2 linked regions of the Lepisosteus oculatus genome follow. The protein of the gene in region 2 interacts with the protein of the main gene of each other region in a biochemical or structural test. Links are inferred from orthologs where the notes say so. Each region holds a gene or a part of one and is shown on either strand. Other genes may lie near its edges.

Evidence for each region. The genes of interacting proteins can lie anywhere in the genome.
Region 1: the proteins of txnipb (region 2) and solute carrier family 2, facilitated glucose transporter member 1-like form a complex in vitro, tested with the Homo sapiens proteins (2 studies listed by BioGRID). The link is inferred for Lepisosteus oculatus from reciprocal best matches to the Homo sapiens genes TXNIP and SLC2A1.

Annotation. Positions count from the first base shown.
Region 1 is NC_090720.1:7,027,419-7,035,171, reverse strand, and holds the start of solute carrier family 2, facilitated glucose transporter member 1-like, read left to right. Parts: upstream 1-4,557; 5' UTR 4,558-4,940; coding exon 4,941-4,958; intron 4,959-7,753. UniProt on the Homo sapiens protein: Facilitative glucose transporter, which is responsible for constitutive or basal glucose uptake. Has a very broad substrate specificity; can transport a wide range of aldoses including both pentoses and hexoses.
Region 2 is NC_090722.1:4,355,767-4,363,510, reverse strand, and holds the start of txnipb (thioredoxin interacting protein b), read right to left. Parts: upstream 3,329-7,744; 5' UTR 3,047-3,328; coding exon 2,791-3,046; intron 1,963-2,790; coding exon 1,887-1,962; intron 1,764-1,886; coding exon 1,616-1,763; intron 1,369-1,615; coding exon 1,266-1,368; intron 860-1,265; coding exon 603-859; intron 290-602; coding exon 1-289. UniProt on the Homo sapiens protein: May act as an oxidative stress mediator by inhibiting thioredoxin activity or by limiting its bioavailability.

The sequences.
Region 1 (7,753 bases), on a different chromosome or scaffold from region 2:
CATTTTCAGGACACTTGGAACTTTTCTTAGGCCATTGAGTTCAGTACATCCCCAAAGTAACTTTTTACTCATGCTTGGTTTGATCTTTTCTACTTTTCTAATAATATTAATACTAACACTACTAATAATGTGCCAACACAAATAAAACCTACTTGTGCTGTAATGGGTTAGCGGATGTTTTCCAAGTTCATATCACAAAATTAATCTCTATAGCATGTATTAAACTCTATAGCAGGTATTTTAATTAAAAGGTGTTTCAGGTAAATGTAAAAAAATACTGTGCTTTGGGACTGTCAAATGTAAGAGAGATAAGGAGGCTTTACTATTTTGTTCCTGCAGCTATCGGTGTTTTTATCTCAAAGCATTAACAACTGCTGCTGACAGAGAGCAGTGCATGTACAGTTTACCCCACAAGCATTTTAAAATTAAGATTCTTAATTGGGAGCAAGTTGTGCTGGAGCTATATACAGTATATCAGGGTGATGGATTATTTACAGCAACACGTAGTTCTGGTTGGCTTTATAGATATCCCAGTATAAGGCAGCTTTTATCTGTGAGAACATGTCATGAGTTAGTCATGAATTATTCAGACAGTGCTGTGCAGATAGCTGTCTTTTTAGTGCTGGTGTGCACGTGGGTGAAAGAGGCAAAGAGGAAGAGATGGAATATGAAAAGAAATATTCTTGACTGAATAACTGCAACAGGCATGAAAAAAAGTCAACATAAAATGGTGAGTCATAATACTGCTTGTAAACAGTTTGATTTAAAATGTCATGCATGAAACATTTGTTTCATTGCTAAAAGTAGTTCGCTTGACTACGCCTTCTGCAGAATATTGAAAATCTGTGAATAAATAAGAAAATATGGTAAATGAAAAGGGATCTTGCACTGATCTTCACAGTGAAGTACTGTAGGTCAAGTAGCTAACTGATTCTGTTTCTTCAGCACTACAAAGTAAACAGGCGACCTGTTTTGTACAACCCAAATAAATTAAAACATAACAGCACAGAATGAATGAAGAAGTACTATCCACTCACCCCCATCTAAAACTCAACCTTTCCTCCATATCTGACATAGCGGATGGTTGAACAATAGTGTTGCAGGATGTAGCCATCACATAGACTGCTTGGTACATTGTATAAAGTTCTGGACTTGGACTTCATATCTTATGACTTTAATATCAATTTCCACTTTGTAACCTTCTGTTTTCCAAAGACGCACATTTCTATTATGTAAATTGACATTACGTACACTACCCCATCAATTACTTTACAGACAGTCAAACATCTTTTAGCTCTGGTAAGTGAAGGGTTTAACAATATGGTTTTTGTTCCTGCAGGACAGAATCTGTGTGTATTCTTTGCTGGGACGAATGACTTCATGACATGAATTGCTGTATCCTTCAGTTATTACTAAATGCTGCAAATCATTTTGTCAGAGCAGGTGGACTCACGGTCATGATGTAACATGTCTCTGTGTGCATGTGTAGCAAGGGCTCCCAGACTGAGTGCCGAACGCAATCTGTGATGTCCTTTGGAAAAAAACTGGCCCCTCCCTGTAATTTCCTTTTAGGTCGAAAGAAACACAACAAAGGAGCCACTAACCCACCCTGCCCCCACTGCAGGCTTTCTTCGGACTTTAGTTTGGCTTTAAGCTATTGTTCCACAGGGCACTTATCCATCTACACCCTTACTCTTGCTCTGCTCTCCCAGATTTTTCGTTTTCTCAAGCCTCCCGTTCCGGGAATATTCTCAGAATTAAAGTAGAGGTACGTGGATTTATGTACCTCCTTGCACACCGGTCGATGAAAGGTGATTCTGTTGTGATCTTGTCTTCTTCTTCATCAGATGAATATGATCAGAATCCTGATGCTTTTAGGTTAAGTTGGCTACATTGTGTTTAAAGCAAATGCAGAAGCTCATTACACTTAGTTTGAGCTGCTACCTAGCGGAATGTAAAATTTCTTACTTTGAAAAGCTAAGTTATAACGCTTTACCATCTCTATTATACTATACTGCACCTGAGTGACTAATGAGAAACACTTTTCATTATACTATGCACCTGTGTAAGTTTAATGACAATAAAGTTGAATTGAATTGAATTTCTATACTAGAAAAAACATGTATACGGGGTAACACTTCTGCTAACTATTTTTGCTTTATAAAGACAAATTTGTGTAAATGTTGTCTACATGCTAAGGAATCCCACAACTCCTGTCCTGTAACAGCCTCCATTTTATTTCCAACTTAGCTTCAGGTTGGCTCTATATGGTTTGAATAGGCTGATGACAAATTTTATTAGAGGATTAATATTTATACTTGCTTGAGATTGATCAAAATACTTGCGGATATCACCAGGGCTGTAGGGCACTGTAACGGAATGAATGTGTGAGTTCTGAGAGATTTTTAGTTTTCATCTCAGAATTGTTTTCAATAAATGTACAAACTAAAAATGTAGGTCCAAAAGTGTATGATCTGTATTTTCAAAGGTGTATCAACTGGACTATATCAGTTAGAAATACAGGGTATCCTTCAAAATAAAATTAAAATCCTGTCTTTATCTTTAACTGCTTCATCCTGTGCAGTGTCTCACAGCTGGTACATAACCAGGACACGGGATACAATATTATTATTAATAATAATAATAATAATAATTGCTTACACTTGTATAGCGCTTTTCTGGACAGTCCAACAAGGTAGGACCACACTCGACAAGATGCCAGTTCCTCAGAAGGCACACACTCACATTCACAAGAACAATTTCAAGACACCAGTTAGACTAGCCAGAATATTATGAACAACAAAGACCATGCAGACTCCACACATACAGTAAGTCACCCACATCTGGAATCAAACCTAGGGCTCAAGAGTTGTGAGAAACCTTTGCTAACTGCTCATACTACCATGCTGCACTCATGACACCAAAAGTAACATACATTTTCAAAGTAAGCTTGTAAAGACTTCCTGTGTACACTTGGAAAGACATTACCCTTTGTAACAATTTTTCCTGTAACTTTCTTGTACAGATATATTGATTGCTTTTGAAGACTGAAGCGATACGTCAGTCGAAGATAATGGGATTTTTCAGTTATATTATTAGTAGGTTATGTTCTCCTACTAAGTTTGAGTAGGAAATTGGTTAGGTGAGAAAGAGCTTGCAGCTGTTGTCATTTTCTAGCATTTTCCTCTTCTGTACTTAATAAAATGTAGAAACCATTTGTGCAAAACCTCTTAATGTTACCTTCTTAAAGAGAGTGTTTTTTATTTATAAAGATGCATGCCCCTTTTATTTCTGTTGACCTGGCAAACTAAAATATATATATATATTTTAAGGCCCACTAGACTTTAATGATGACATGACACACCAGATTATCAGTTTCTAACCCTTCTTGATAAGTACCAGGATGACTTATAGGTAATTTACTGAAGGAAACAAAAGCTCAAAGTTATTTTTTCAGTAGACCCGGGGAGAGCTAAACGTTTTATTTTCTAATAGAAAACCTACCCCACGTTCTTAATAAAACTTCCCTATAAGCAAATAGACAAATACAGTACACTGACTGGTTGATAGCAGATCACGTGAAAAACACTCAGGAGTTCTGAGTGGAAAATAGCCTTACTCAGAGCAGATACAATGTCAGCATCGTCTTTTTCTATTATTAATGGAGCAGTCTAGGGCTTGTACAGCCTAGGCATTTACACCGGGGATTTCTACAAATGATGGATCACTCGAGATTCTTAAATAGGAAGTGTTTTTCTACCACAGGGGAAAAAAAAAACACTTAATGATCTATTTGTCTAGTTTTCTTTAGCAACAAAGTAAAAAATGGGACTATCTTAAGAAATACTAGAAAAGTAAGATGAACCGGGCACCAGAGGAACTTTTAATCGCCATAAACAAGTTTCTTGTTTTTCCTCACATGATAAGAATACCTTTTATTTAATTGACGCAGAGTGCTGCCCTGTCTGGCTGTCTGTGTGGCTCTTTAATTGCCGACATTCCTGCAGCTGGTTTTAAAATAAAGCTTATTACTGTTACTGTTAATCGCTGTTTTGTTGCTAGTTGCAGCAGGCATACGTATGCAAAAACGTGACCACCGCTTTTTCACCAGTCAGCCGGGAAAAAAGAAATTATTACAGCTGTTTATTATTTTTCATTAATAGCTTTTTAGTTTACTATTTTATTTATACTTGTGGTTGAAGTCTAAACTGTATTCCGGAGATGCGCCCGTACCCGAGGGCCGCCCCGGCTGAATATTCATATTCCTATTCGTTTTTACAACTATATTTGAAGCGAATGCCTCAGCAGACCAGCTTTATTTGTTAATTCTCTTCATGCACGTCCTCCTGTGGTCTTCAAAAAAAATGTGTCCCTTTTTGGCAGACAGTGTTACCTATGTGAAAGACGGGCTAAGCCTGTCAAGACACCGCCTCCCGGGGGGGGATATTGACCAATCACAGGCCGAGTAGCTCGCAGGCCTCCTCTCACACCTTCCTCTAAGCCCCTGGGCCAACCAATCAGCGAGGAGAAGGCTTGACGCATAAAACCCGGTTTATTTTCCCTAAATACAATTTCAGACGAGAAGTTTCAAGCTCAGGACCGGTTTGCTTTTACACGACCCGACCAGGGAAGGATAAAGGAGCCGCATCAAAACTTTCTTTTGCTTTTCCACTGATGTTTTGCGCTTCAGTTTTGATCATCGCGGCGGCTGCCTGAAGAAAGGAAAGATAACTCACACAATAAAGGACTTATTTTAATCTGTTAGACTCCGCATTATATATATATATTTATTTCGTCAGTGAAAAAAAAAACAAGTTTTAGCACAGACAGAAACGAGGAAATCGGGACTTTTTTTTTTCCTTCCAAGCCTCTACGGGGACGCGAAAGTTTCTGAACGACAGAGCAGTCTTGACGTGAGGACGGTCCTGGCTTCAACCACGATGGAATCGGGCGGCAAGGTAAAAAAAAAAAAACCCGCACCTCCGCTTTCTTGACTTTCATAGCCGCTAAAAAAAAAACAAAACCCAAAACAAAACAATGTGGACCAGTATGTTTCCCTTTAGGCTTAGTATACCCCCGTGTCGTGTCACTGGGCGAGATAAAAGCAGAGCGGTTTGCGCCCTTGGAGCACAAATGTTGAACATGTTGCGACCCATGCGGGGCAGACTGTCTCTATTGTACCGGTGCCCAGAGGAGCGCAGCCAGGGGCTTCCGGTTGAATGCTGGGAAACGGCGAGGTAGAGAATGACGCAGAGCGGCGAGGCTGAGCCGCTGCCTACGTGCGCCAGGAAACGTGACTTTGGTGGCTGGCGGTGCACTACGGCGATTAATCGATCCGCGCATTTTCAGTCCTCTTCGCCCGGGTGGTCCTGCCTTCTCAATGAAAGCAGTGCACATTTATTGGTGGGGGGGGAGGTGGGCGCCTTCTTTTACAAACCAGCTGGAGCTGCTTTCTTTAAAATAAATTGGTATATGTACCCCCCTCCACACACACACACGCGTTATTGGTTGCAATAAAAACAGAAGCGTCTACAACAGAGGAACCCAAATAAATAAATGGTTGACCGGTTAGGATGGGCGTTTCGTGGACAATTTATCTACCCCCAGTGGGAATTATTCAGTAGTTAATCGCGCTGTGTTCAATGAAGTCGAATGGCGACAATACGTGACGTACGATCAAATTCGCGATGTTGCAATGGATTCGTGCGTGCGAGTTTTATTTTTCACGAGAGAAAAAAAAAATTGGACTAGAAAACAAACTAAACGTGGCGTAATATTAAAATTAGCCCTGAAAGACGGGACGAAAAAACGATCGTGTTAGAATAATCTGTTCTTTCGTGGGTCCGAATTTGCAGGTTTAATGGATGAAGACGCACCACTGTTGTGCTGGAGACGAAGATCTTTATATCCCCAGCACACACCGGGTTATTTAACGCATAACACACCATTTACTTTTAATTTTTGTTTTTAATTTGATAACGGTTTAATTCCTGTTTAGAGTGCTGTATATACCGAACTTTTTGATACCCCAGTGCATCATACAGTGGTTTTAACAGGACGTTAAATTCCACCTAAAACATTTCACGTAGTGTATTTGGAGCAAAACAACTTTCTGAGAAATCGAATAACTAATTTTCAGTTGTACCAGTTAGTGGTATTGGTTTCCTGACTGATCTTAGTTTTTTCTGCTTGAAATAAAGACGTAGTTCCTCACAAACAACGCCTGTAAAATATTCTGCAGAAGGTTATTTCTAAATCTTACTGCTCTATGCTGGTATATTCTAGAAATAACTACGTTATTTTTTGTGGAGTTTCTCCGGTTACGGTATTAAGAACCTGCGTGTTTCTCTTTGCAACTGATGTTTTTGTTTACTGTTTTACATTGTAAAAACGGTGAATGTTTATCAAAACTGAAGTGTTGCATTGTAGGCTACTACCATAGAGGAGGTCTTAATGACATTATGGTAAATTTAAACAGCCGTTCTTATGATATTCAAATGTATTAGCGTTACTGCTTAACCGATCTAAATCTTAATTGCAGAAAAAGTATTTCTTAAAAAGCAACTTTTTCTTTTCAGTAAAAAGAAAATATTCAATCGCATATTGCAGTTGTTCAGATATTGCAGAATGTCTAGTTTTCCTGTAATCGTTTACACTGAATGTTCGGTGAAGACTGCTTAGTCATACTCACAAGTGTGGATTTACGCAACCACTTATAAAATTCATTATCAAAGGGTAAAGAAAAAACATTTAAAAAACATCATCATCATGACTGTATATTTTGTAAACAATGGTGTCATAGAAATACAAAACTGGCCTCTTGGATTTTAAGGAAATTAGAAACTTTATTCCCAGCTGAATTGAAAGATTAACTGTTAGACGTGACTACTTTGTTAGTTGGTATGGCTGATTCTTTTTGGTGGTTTGGTAGGGATGAAGTCTCTTTGTGCGTCGCTGTGGTTATCAGCTTCTTTCAGTTCAGCATCTTCCTGGGCTGACTTTAACTGAGTGACGAAGGAACAGAAGTACGTGCATTATTTGAGAGATCAGGGTACCCAAGCGTTGTATTGTAGGTTCCTGGGTTCATGTTCTTGGATCGATATGTATGTGCAGATATCAATTGCAGAAGGACATATTTACTATTCATTTGTAGAACATTTATAAAGGTATCACTCAGTTGTGATCTGAGAAGAATCCAAGATGAGGATTAGTGTCTATCTTCAAAGCACGTATTTCTAAGTCCTATAAAAACCTAATTACAACAAGCACTCAGAGAAATCAGAGGCACTAAGTGTTGAACAGACTATGGGATTGTACTACTTTGAGGGTTTCAGAAGTGTAGCACTCTAAGGAGAACCACCTGAATGAAGGGTTTCAGAATTTGAGATTCAATACACATTTGTCCAATCTGATACCCACACTGAGAGGGTAAAGGTTATCAGTTGAAAGGAACCCCAGACAAGTTAAAAATACATTTTTAAAAGGTATAATGCAATTAGAAATAATCAACAGCTAAATGGTGCTAATTCCAAAGTTGAGGCCTGTAGATGTGAAATATTTGGCATAATCAAATATTTCAGAAGGGAAGACAAAGTATCGACTTTTGTTCTGCTGATGTAGATATATCCGCTATGCAGTTGAATGGAAACTTTACATTGCATTCATCCTTGACTTTTTCTCCACCATTCACTCCATTGTTTTGGTTGTGATAGCTCGGTACAATGTCAACAGATTAGTCGGCGTTGTGTAATAC
Region 2 (7,744 bases):
GAGGGAACTGGAACTCGGGGGCGTTCATGAAGAGGGGGCTGTCGCCCTCGTCGTAGTCGTCCAGCAGCGGGGTGAGAGGGGTGTCCAGCCTGCAGTCCCGGGTGATGTCGCAGTAGCTGGGCGGCGCGCTGGGCATGCGCAGGGACACCCAGCTGTTGGAGGAGGTGCTGCTGCCGCCCTGGCTGCACATGCTGTTGTTGCGGCTGCTGAGCCCGTTGTAGGGGACGGTGCCGATGACCAGGGGCAGCTCCAGCATCAGCTTGTCGCTGCCCGGGATGTGGACGTAGATCTGAGCGGAGAGAGGCAACCGGATTAGAGCCTGGAACCTGGCTGCACGGGAGAAGCACTGCACTCGTCTCCCAACTACAAAACAAATCTCGACCTGGTCTTTACCCCAAGAGTGGCGGGAGTGTGGAACAAGCTGCCCAGCCATGCTGTCGAGCCCCGATACCCTGGTTTTTGATGGGGGATCAATCAACTACTGTACAGGCTCCAATGGCCTCTGGTTCGTCAACTTCCTGTGTGCCTACTCTGCCTTGACGTGACCAGTCACCCTACTCGCCAGCCGGCCAGCAGACGGGAGCAGAGAGCGTGGTGCTCACCATCAGCGCGTACTCCACGCGGATGATGTTGCAGCCCAGGATGGACGGCTTGATCTTGGGCACGCGGATAGTCTTGCCCTGCCAGGCGTCGCACATGCCAGAGATGATGTGGTTCCCTCGCACCGACGACAGCTTCTGCCGGAAGACCTTGGTGCGGCCGTTGGCCTGGTAGGTGTGCTTGGCGATGATGGCGGCCTTGGGCACCACGATGCGGGAGCAGGTGTTCTCGAACTTGGCGCTGATGCAGATATCCTCGCCTGGGGGGGGGGAGCAGGGAAGAGGAGAGAGTTAAAACTCCAGAACTACACTGAGCTCAACGGGCTTTGGTCAAGACTGAACTCAAGGTTGGATACAGATCCAAGAGGAGGCCATTACAGCTCATCTATCCCCTTTGAGGGAGACTGAACTGAACCCAGGATCTCATCCAGCTATGTCTTTGAAAGCCGACACCCTGGCTCTTAACAGCATTGCTGGGTAGCTAGGTCCCTTCTCCCACCACCCTTTGTGTAAAGAAATGCCTGCTGTCCCCAACTGGAGGATCTAATCCATCTTTGCACTGACAGAATCCAGGTTACTGGCTTCAACCCATATGGCTGGGTGGCTTGTGCCACACTCCCACCACCCTCGGTGTAAAGGAAGCACCTCCCCTCGTTTGTCACTCACCTTCGCAGAAGCCCCTGCGGTCGATCCTGGCGTTCAGAGACACCTGTCCGTCAGGGATGAACATACAGGTGACCTTCTTCTCCTTGGCCCCGGCTGCTGGAGACTGGAGAGAGAGAAGAACAAGAGCCCAGGTCAAGTCCAGCCCCACCAGCGCCTCTCCCACTCAGACCAGTGACCAGCTCAACTCGGGCCCCGCTGGCGGCCCAGTAACACTCGCAAGGGGAACGTCAGCCTCTGTACCAGCAAGACTTCAGGCACAAATCCCAATCTGAAGGACTGAAGCCCTTTCAACTGCATCAGAGAAACCAGTCTGATGTCCCAGTGGAGGAAAGGAGGAGAGTCTCACTTACATCCAGGTCAGGGGTGTTGACGTCCAGGGGCTCCACCACGTCAAAGTTCTTGGTGGTCTCCAGGGTGGGGTGGGAGGGTCTCTCCAGCAGGGCCTTCACGTAGTATTGCACACTCCCGAACTTCCCCTTGTAGGAGGACACCAGCTGCCTGCAGGAACAGGGGGGCAGAGATCGCGCCGTAAGCCCACAGAACGGAGGCCTTTTTTGGGGAGGCTGAATAAAGAGACGAGCCATTTTTTTTAAGATTAAAAAAAAAAAAAGAGACACCTACCCTTGCTGAGGAAGCTCAAATCCAAACATGTACTCGTATTTGTTCCCCGGTCTCAGAGTCACAGAGCCATCCTTGTCTGAAATAGAAAGCAAAAACGGTTTAATTATTTGTTTTTGGAACGACTTCTCCCCCTCCCCCACCCACAAACCTCGCAGTTTCAGCATTTTTCGTTTTTTAATTGAACAAAGCCGTGATTTTCTCTGCCCTCGCTTCTCTCTAACCACCCCCTGTCGTTACAGACGGGGACTTCCTTCAAACAGCTCTGACGACCTCGCGTCCCGGGCCAGCCGAGCCTGAATGCCAGCCGGCCGGCGGCCCAGCCTGGGCGCTACCCAAGTACAGTAGGCATTCACCCTCCCGGGGCCCGGCACATTTCCACGCCAGGAGGGGGGAATCCCCGCATGGACTTTCCCCGACCGGACCATCTCCGTGCCAGCGCCCCCCTGCGGCGGAGACGAGCAAGAGGGCCCCGGTGCCGTTTCCCCCAGCTGGGGATGTTGTTTATCACCGACCCTGAAGGTCCAGGCAGCTCGGAAAAACAGTCGCTCGTTTCCACAGCTTAAACCCCTTCCTGCTCTCTCTCTCTTTTTTTTTTTTTAATTCGTCAGCACCGCCGCTTGGCTGAAACCGAAACTAAGCAAAACTTTCTTGCCCCGATGACAAACTGGGGGGGGAGAGAAACAACAACCACCAAACACTTCACGGAAAGTAGCCGTCATTCTGCTGCATTGGGAAACTTAATTGAGGGGGGGGAGCTTCCTTTACCCTAAAAACGCACCGCTTTGAAAAGGACGTTTTCAACTTTTGGTTTTGCTTTTCGAACCAGCCCCTGCACCGCTCATGCCCGTCTCTGACCCCTCCGCACCCCCCTCCCCGAGACACGCACTCGCTCGCTCGCCCTCACCTGTGGGCTGGTCGTCCAGGTGCAGCGTGTCCTCGTACTTCAGGTAGTCCATCTCCTCGCGGCACCGCTGCTTGCCCTTGGCGTACTCCACCTTGGCGCAGCCCACGCCGAGCACCCGCAGGGCCGACACCCGCGTCACCTCGGACACCTCCAGCGCCACCCGGCCGGCCACCTTGTCCCCGCTGGAGTAGGCCGTCTTGCTGGGGTCGCTGAAGATCACCTCGAAGGTCTTCACTTTCTTCATCATGCCCACCATTGTCCGCCGATCGAAGCTTGCTTTATCCAGAAAGTGCAATCAATCAGTCAGTCACACCTGAGCGAGATAAGGGATCGACTTTCGCAGAAGCTGCTTCCAAGCAAACTTGCAGTTCTGCCGAGCACGGTCGATATTTCTTATCTTTTGACGAGTTTTGCAAGTGAAGGCGAACTAGCCACGTCTAATTAGAAAGCACGAGTGCTCCTATTTCCTCTGTCTACTGCGCGTATGCTAGGCACCATCTGTACTCCGCGGTAACTTTAGAGGGTGTAAACAGAGAACGGGGAAGTCGGGTTTTATACTGCCAGTGAATCGGCTCGCTCCCCTCCACCCCGGCTGCTCATGCGGCGCTGGGATGCCCGGCTCGGCTGCCCGCGTGCACAGCGCGCCCATTGGCCGAGCCGGGCTGTTTGTGTCGCGCTCGGCCAATCAGCGGCCGGCGGCGGCGCGTGTTCAGCTCATGGAGGAAAACACGGCGGCGAGTGCTCAGCGAGTGACGGGGCGTGGCCAAGCGGGCCTGAGCCAATCTCCTGTCTCTCCTGCGTCTTTGTCTCTCAACCACCACACACACAAAAACAGTATTGCACACATTGTACCGTTTTTTTTTTCTGTTCGGGGAGTGGCCAGATGTACCAGACGGGATGTTTTTAAGAGGAACAGGCACGTTCCGTAGTAACCTCAGGGATTCCAAGGGAACTCTCAATTATAATCGCAACAGTTCGAAGGCGATACCCCGCTTGCACCCAAACAACGATTTTTACAGACACGCATTACACAAAAATAAAAAGATAAATACATTCTAAAAAATGCCAGCCGTACACATTATTGCTCGAAACGGGCCGCTGATGGGACAAACAACGAGATACAAATTTGTGTGAAAAGTACACCCACAAAAATGGCAAAAAAATGTGAAGTAAAAAATATAGTTTAGAAAAAGTATAGTTTGGATTCTTTCTCAGACGACTTTACCTTAACAGACTGCAATCAGACATACTGTTGATAAAACAGATATTGGGGATGAAATTGATATTCTTTATTTCAAAGAACAACAGCTACAGGAAAACAACGCTACAGTATGTTGATATAATGTGACGCTAAATCTAACGAACTATTCTGAGGGAAACGGACTTCTAAGAATATTTCAGACGATCGTTAGACTCATACCACTTAAAACGATATTTTATTTAACCTCAGAAAGGAAATAGCTGGAAAACAGTATATATAGAGAGATACACAGTATACAGTTTTATTTATCCGTTCACTGTAGCTTTTAATGTCTCAGTCTAGTTTTACTCGTTTTTTTGTAAGCAAATGTGATGATTTTTATTTCCTTTTTTGTCTTGTATTAGTGTGTTACTGTACAGCACCTCTAACGCGCAAGTAGGGCTTATCGTATTGCGACAATTACAATGTTGATCTGCACAGACATACCGTTCCTCGTTATCTACCATCAAGCGGGATAAAACACTGTCGTGTCACAGAAACGCGTTTTAATTCGATGTAAGTTCCATCAGGAGGCTACCCGAACAGACAGGCAGTGGGTGAAAACACACTTTGAAGACATTAAGTGCTCAGGGAGAATGTTCGATTTTTCCATCATCAAGATATATTAGCGTCTTGACCAAAATTGCTTAGGATTCATCCCTAGGATGGTCCAAACATTTCAGCTCAGCAACCAGTGCTGGACAAACCTTAAATCGCACGAAATTCCTAAATGGTTTTTCCTTACTTTCCTGTACCTATATGTCGACACATATATAGAGAGGAAAAAATACTTTAGCGGTTGACCATCGAGTTTCGAGTCTTGTTTTTTGGAAGGACTCTGAGTTTCTGTAATCACGGCATGATTTTACAGCCTGAAAAGCATTGCGTCACTCCTCTCCCGAGTGTTTTGGTCCCACAGATACGGTAATGGTGTTGCCCCCCCTAACCGACCACCCGTTGGCAGTGCTATCTGAAGAAGGTGAAGTTATGATTCACTCGCGACGGTTTATTGACGCTGAAACGGGATCGGTTGGGTCGGTTTGGGTCCGCAGTGAACTAATTTCGGTTCTCCTCCGTGGTTCTGCGCCCACGCCAGTGGGCTGCCATGTTCTGTAATTCCAGTTACATATTCGATACCCCCACACCAAGCAACTCAAAGTGAAGCGCTCGAACTCAGTTAATTGCCTTAACCCCCGCCATCCACACGTTTTAGATAAATCGAAGCCGAAGTTGTATCTTTTCAACCTCAATAAAAACGAATCGGTCGTTGTTAAAACGGTTTCTTGCTTGTATACGCCGTATCGGACCGGACTGGATCGATTTACATTAAAACCGGATTCTCCTCGCGAAGGAACCGGTCGGGTACAATAAGGAGGTTCGGCCGGATTCACGCAACCCACAAGGAGTCTCCTGCACATTTCCGATAGGAAACAAATGGAAAAATAAAAGGATTATGATTACAAATGGTGGGAAAGCGGCGCAAAGTCTAATTGTTAATTGCGCCTTAGAGAGACCGGTGTTTTATGACGCAGTCCCTGAACCGGGGACCTTTCGGGATTTTGTGGAACCCCAGGGGCGCGAGAGCGAGACTGAAACGGGAGAGGTTCATTTTAAGTCTCGACACCGCCGGATTTGTCTTTCCCGGCGCTGTCCAGGAACACGGGACTCCCCCGCACCCTGAAGGAGCCGTGATAAGACACGTGGGATCACAGACATATCGGGTGGACGGACCTCCTGTTCCCACCCGTTTAAACACGAAGCCGAGTGAGTTCCACTACACGCGTGAACGACATTTTCATTCTTTCATCCCAGCTAGTGACGGTCCGGCAATCACATCGCGCAGACAAGCTGAAGGGACAGGATGTAAATTCAGTTATCCCTACAGCTGCGGGACATTTCTGACGGTGAATAGGATCGAGTATTCCATCGATAAACTCTGCGCCTTCAGCCAGAAGATCACGGTTATGATTACAAACGGCAGGAGACCACCCCCCATCTAGCCGGTTCGATAGTGTCTAACTGGGTCTGTCAAAAGCACCCAGGGTGTCGACTTCAACATGATTGCCTGGGCAGCTTGGTCCACACCCCCACCACCCTTTGTGTAAGGCACTGTTATCGTTATCATTTTAAATGCACTTACCCGTAGGTCTGTGGCTCAGGATCTGCGCCTGTGGCTGGAAAGTTGCCGGTTCGTATCCCACGGCCGGCAGAGAAATCCTACCCCGTTGGGCCCCTGAGCAAGGCCCTTCACCCCCCCTGCTCCGGGGGCGCTGTACAATGGCTGACCCTGCGCTCTGACCCCCAGCTTCTCTCCCCGTCTGTGTGTCTCATGGAGAGCAAGCTGGGGTACGCGCGCGGTAAACGCGTGAATTGCACTACGTCACAGTTAAAAGAAAACATTGAAACGTTGTCCAATGTTATGTCACGGGATGGGGCCCTGTGGCTAAGCAGGACTTTCTGAGCAGGGTACTTCGCCTTATTCCAGTAACATTCCCATAGATAAATGGATGAAAATGAGCATAAAAGCATCCACCAAAAAATGAATATCTCGTGTATCTAGATTAGCTCGTCTTCAGACACAGCAGCCATTCCGGGATCCATACTGGACATAACCCGTCCTCGCAATACCGAGGGCATCTTCCAGCAGGATAACACCGTTTTCACCCACATTAGTGCAGTCGGGTTACCCGCCTGTTGGGTTAGAACTTGGTGAAGTTACCCCCCCTTCAAACAATAAAACAAGTTTTTATCTTTTTTTGCTTCCAGCTCAGCTCTTAATGACCTAATTTTGCCCATTATCAGCTTAATGGGACCAGTTTATCACCTTTTTCCACGGCAACTTCACGGAGCTTTGGGTTAATACCAGATAAGCACCGGTAATTGACAAAAAGAGGTATAATTTCGTCGGGTTGTGTGCGTAATGCATAGACTGTATTATTACTAAATTACTGTTTTCCCAATAAATAAAAAGGCTAAATTGAAACTGCGGTCGTCTCACAACTGTAGCATATATTTGGCGAGCTGGTGGCATAACCTTGGGGACTTGGCGCCCCCTAGTGGTTGTTTCTAGAGTCGGTACTGTTGCGCCACCTCGTACCCTGCATCTCTATAAACATCACCTGTAAGTCAAACTTTCCGACTGACAGTGATGAAGAGCGGGGGACGGGGAGTGTCGGGAATGAAGACTTGCGCACACGCTGTTGGTGATCCGGGACTGGGATGACGACACGACACGACACGCCGCTCGCGGCGTAACAGAGGAGCGCCAGGTTTGGGAATGTGTGCTGGCACGTGTTGCCTTGGCCGCCCGGCTGCGCGGGACTCAAGTCAAAACAACAACAACGCAGGGTTTTTCAGAGACAAGACTCCGAATTTATGTATGATTAATTCATAAGTGCCTCTAATTTCTCCTGTTTGTTGTCCAGATTGGAACCAACATTGATCCTAGAGACTGTTTCAATTGCATTGAAAGTACGTCTGCAATCACAGCTATAATCCCCAGTTAATTAATTATTCCCTTTTAGATACAGTAGGGGACCCACTCCATCAAATTAATAGATCTAATTAATTAATTAATCCAGTCAATTCGATTAGTTATCAGACTGCAACGCTAGGGTGATGTTCCGGGACTCTGCAGTTAACATCCCCGCTCTTGCAAAAAAATACCCACACACCTTTAATGATCAAAAAGCCAGGACATCGGATCAATGTTAA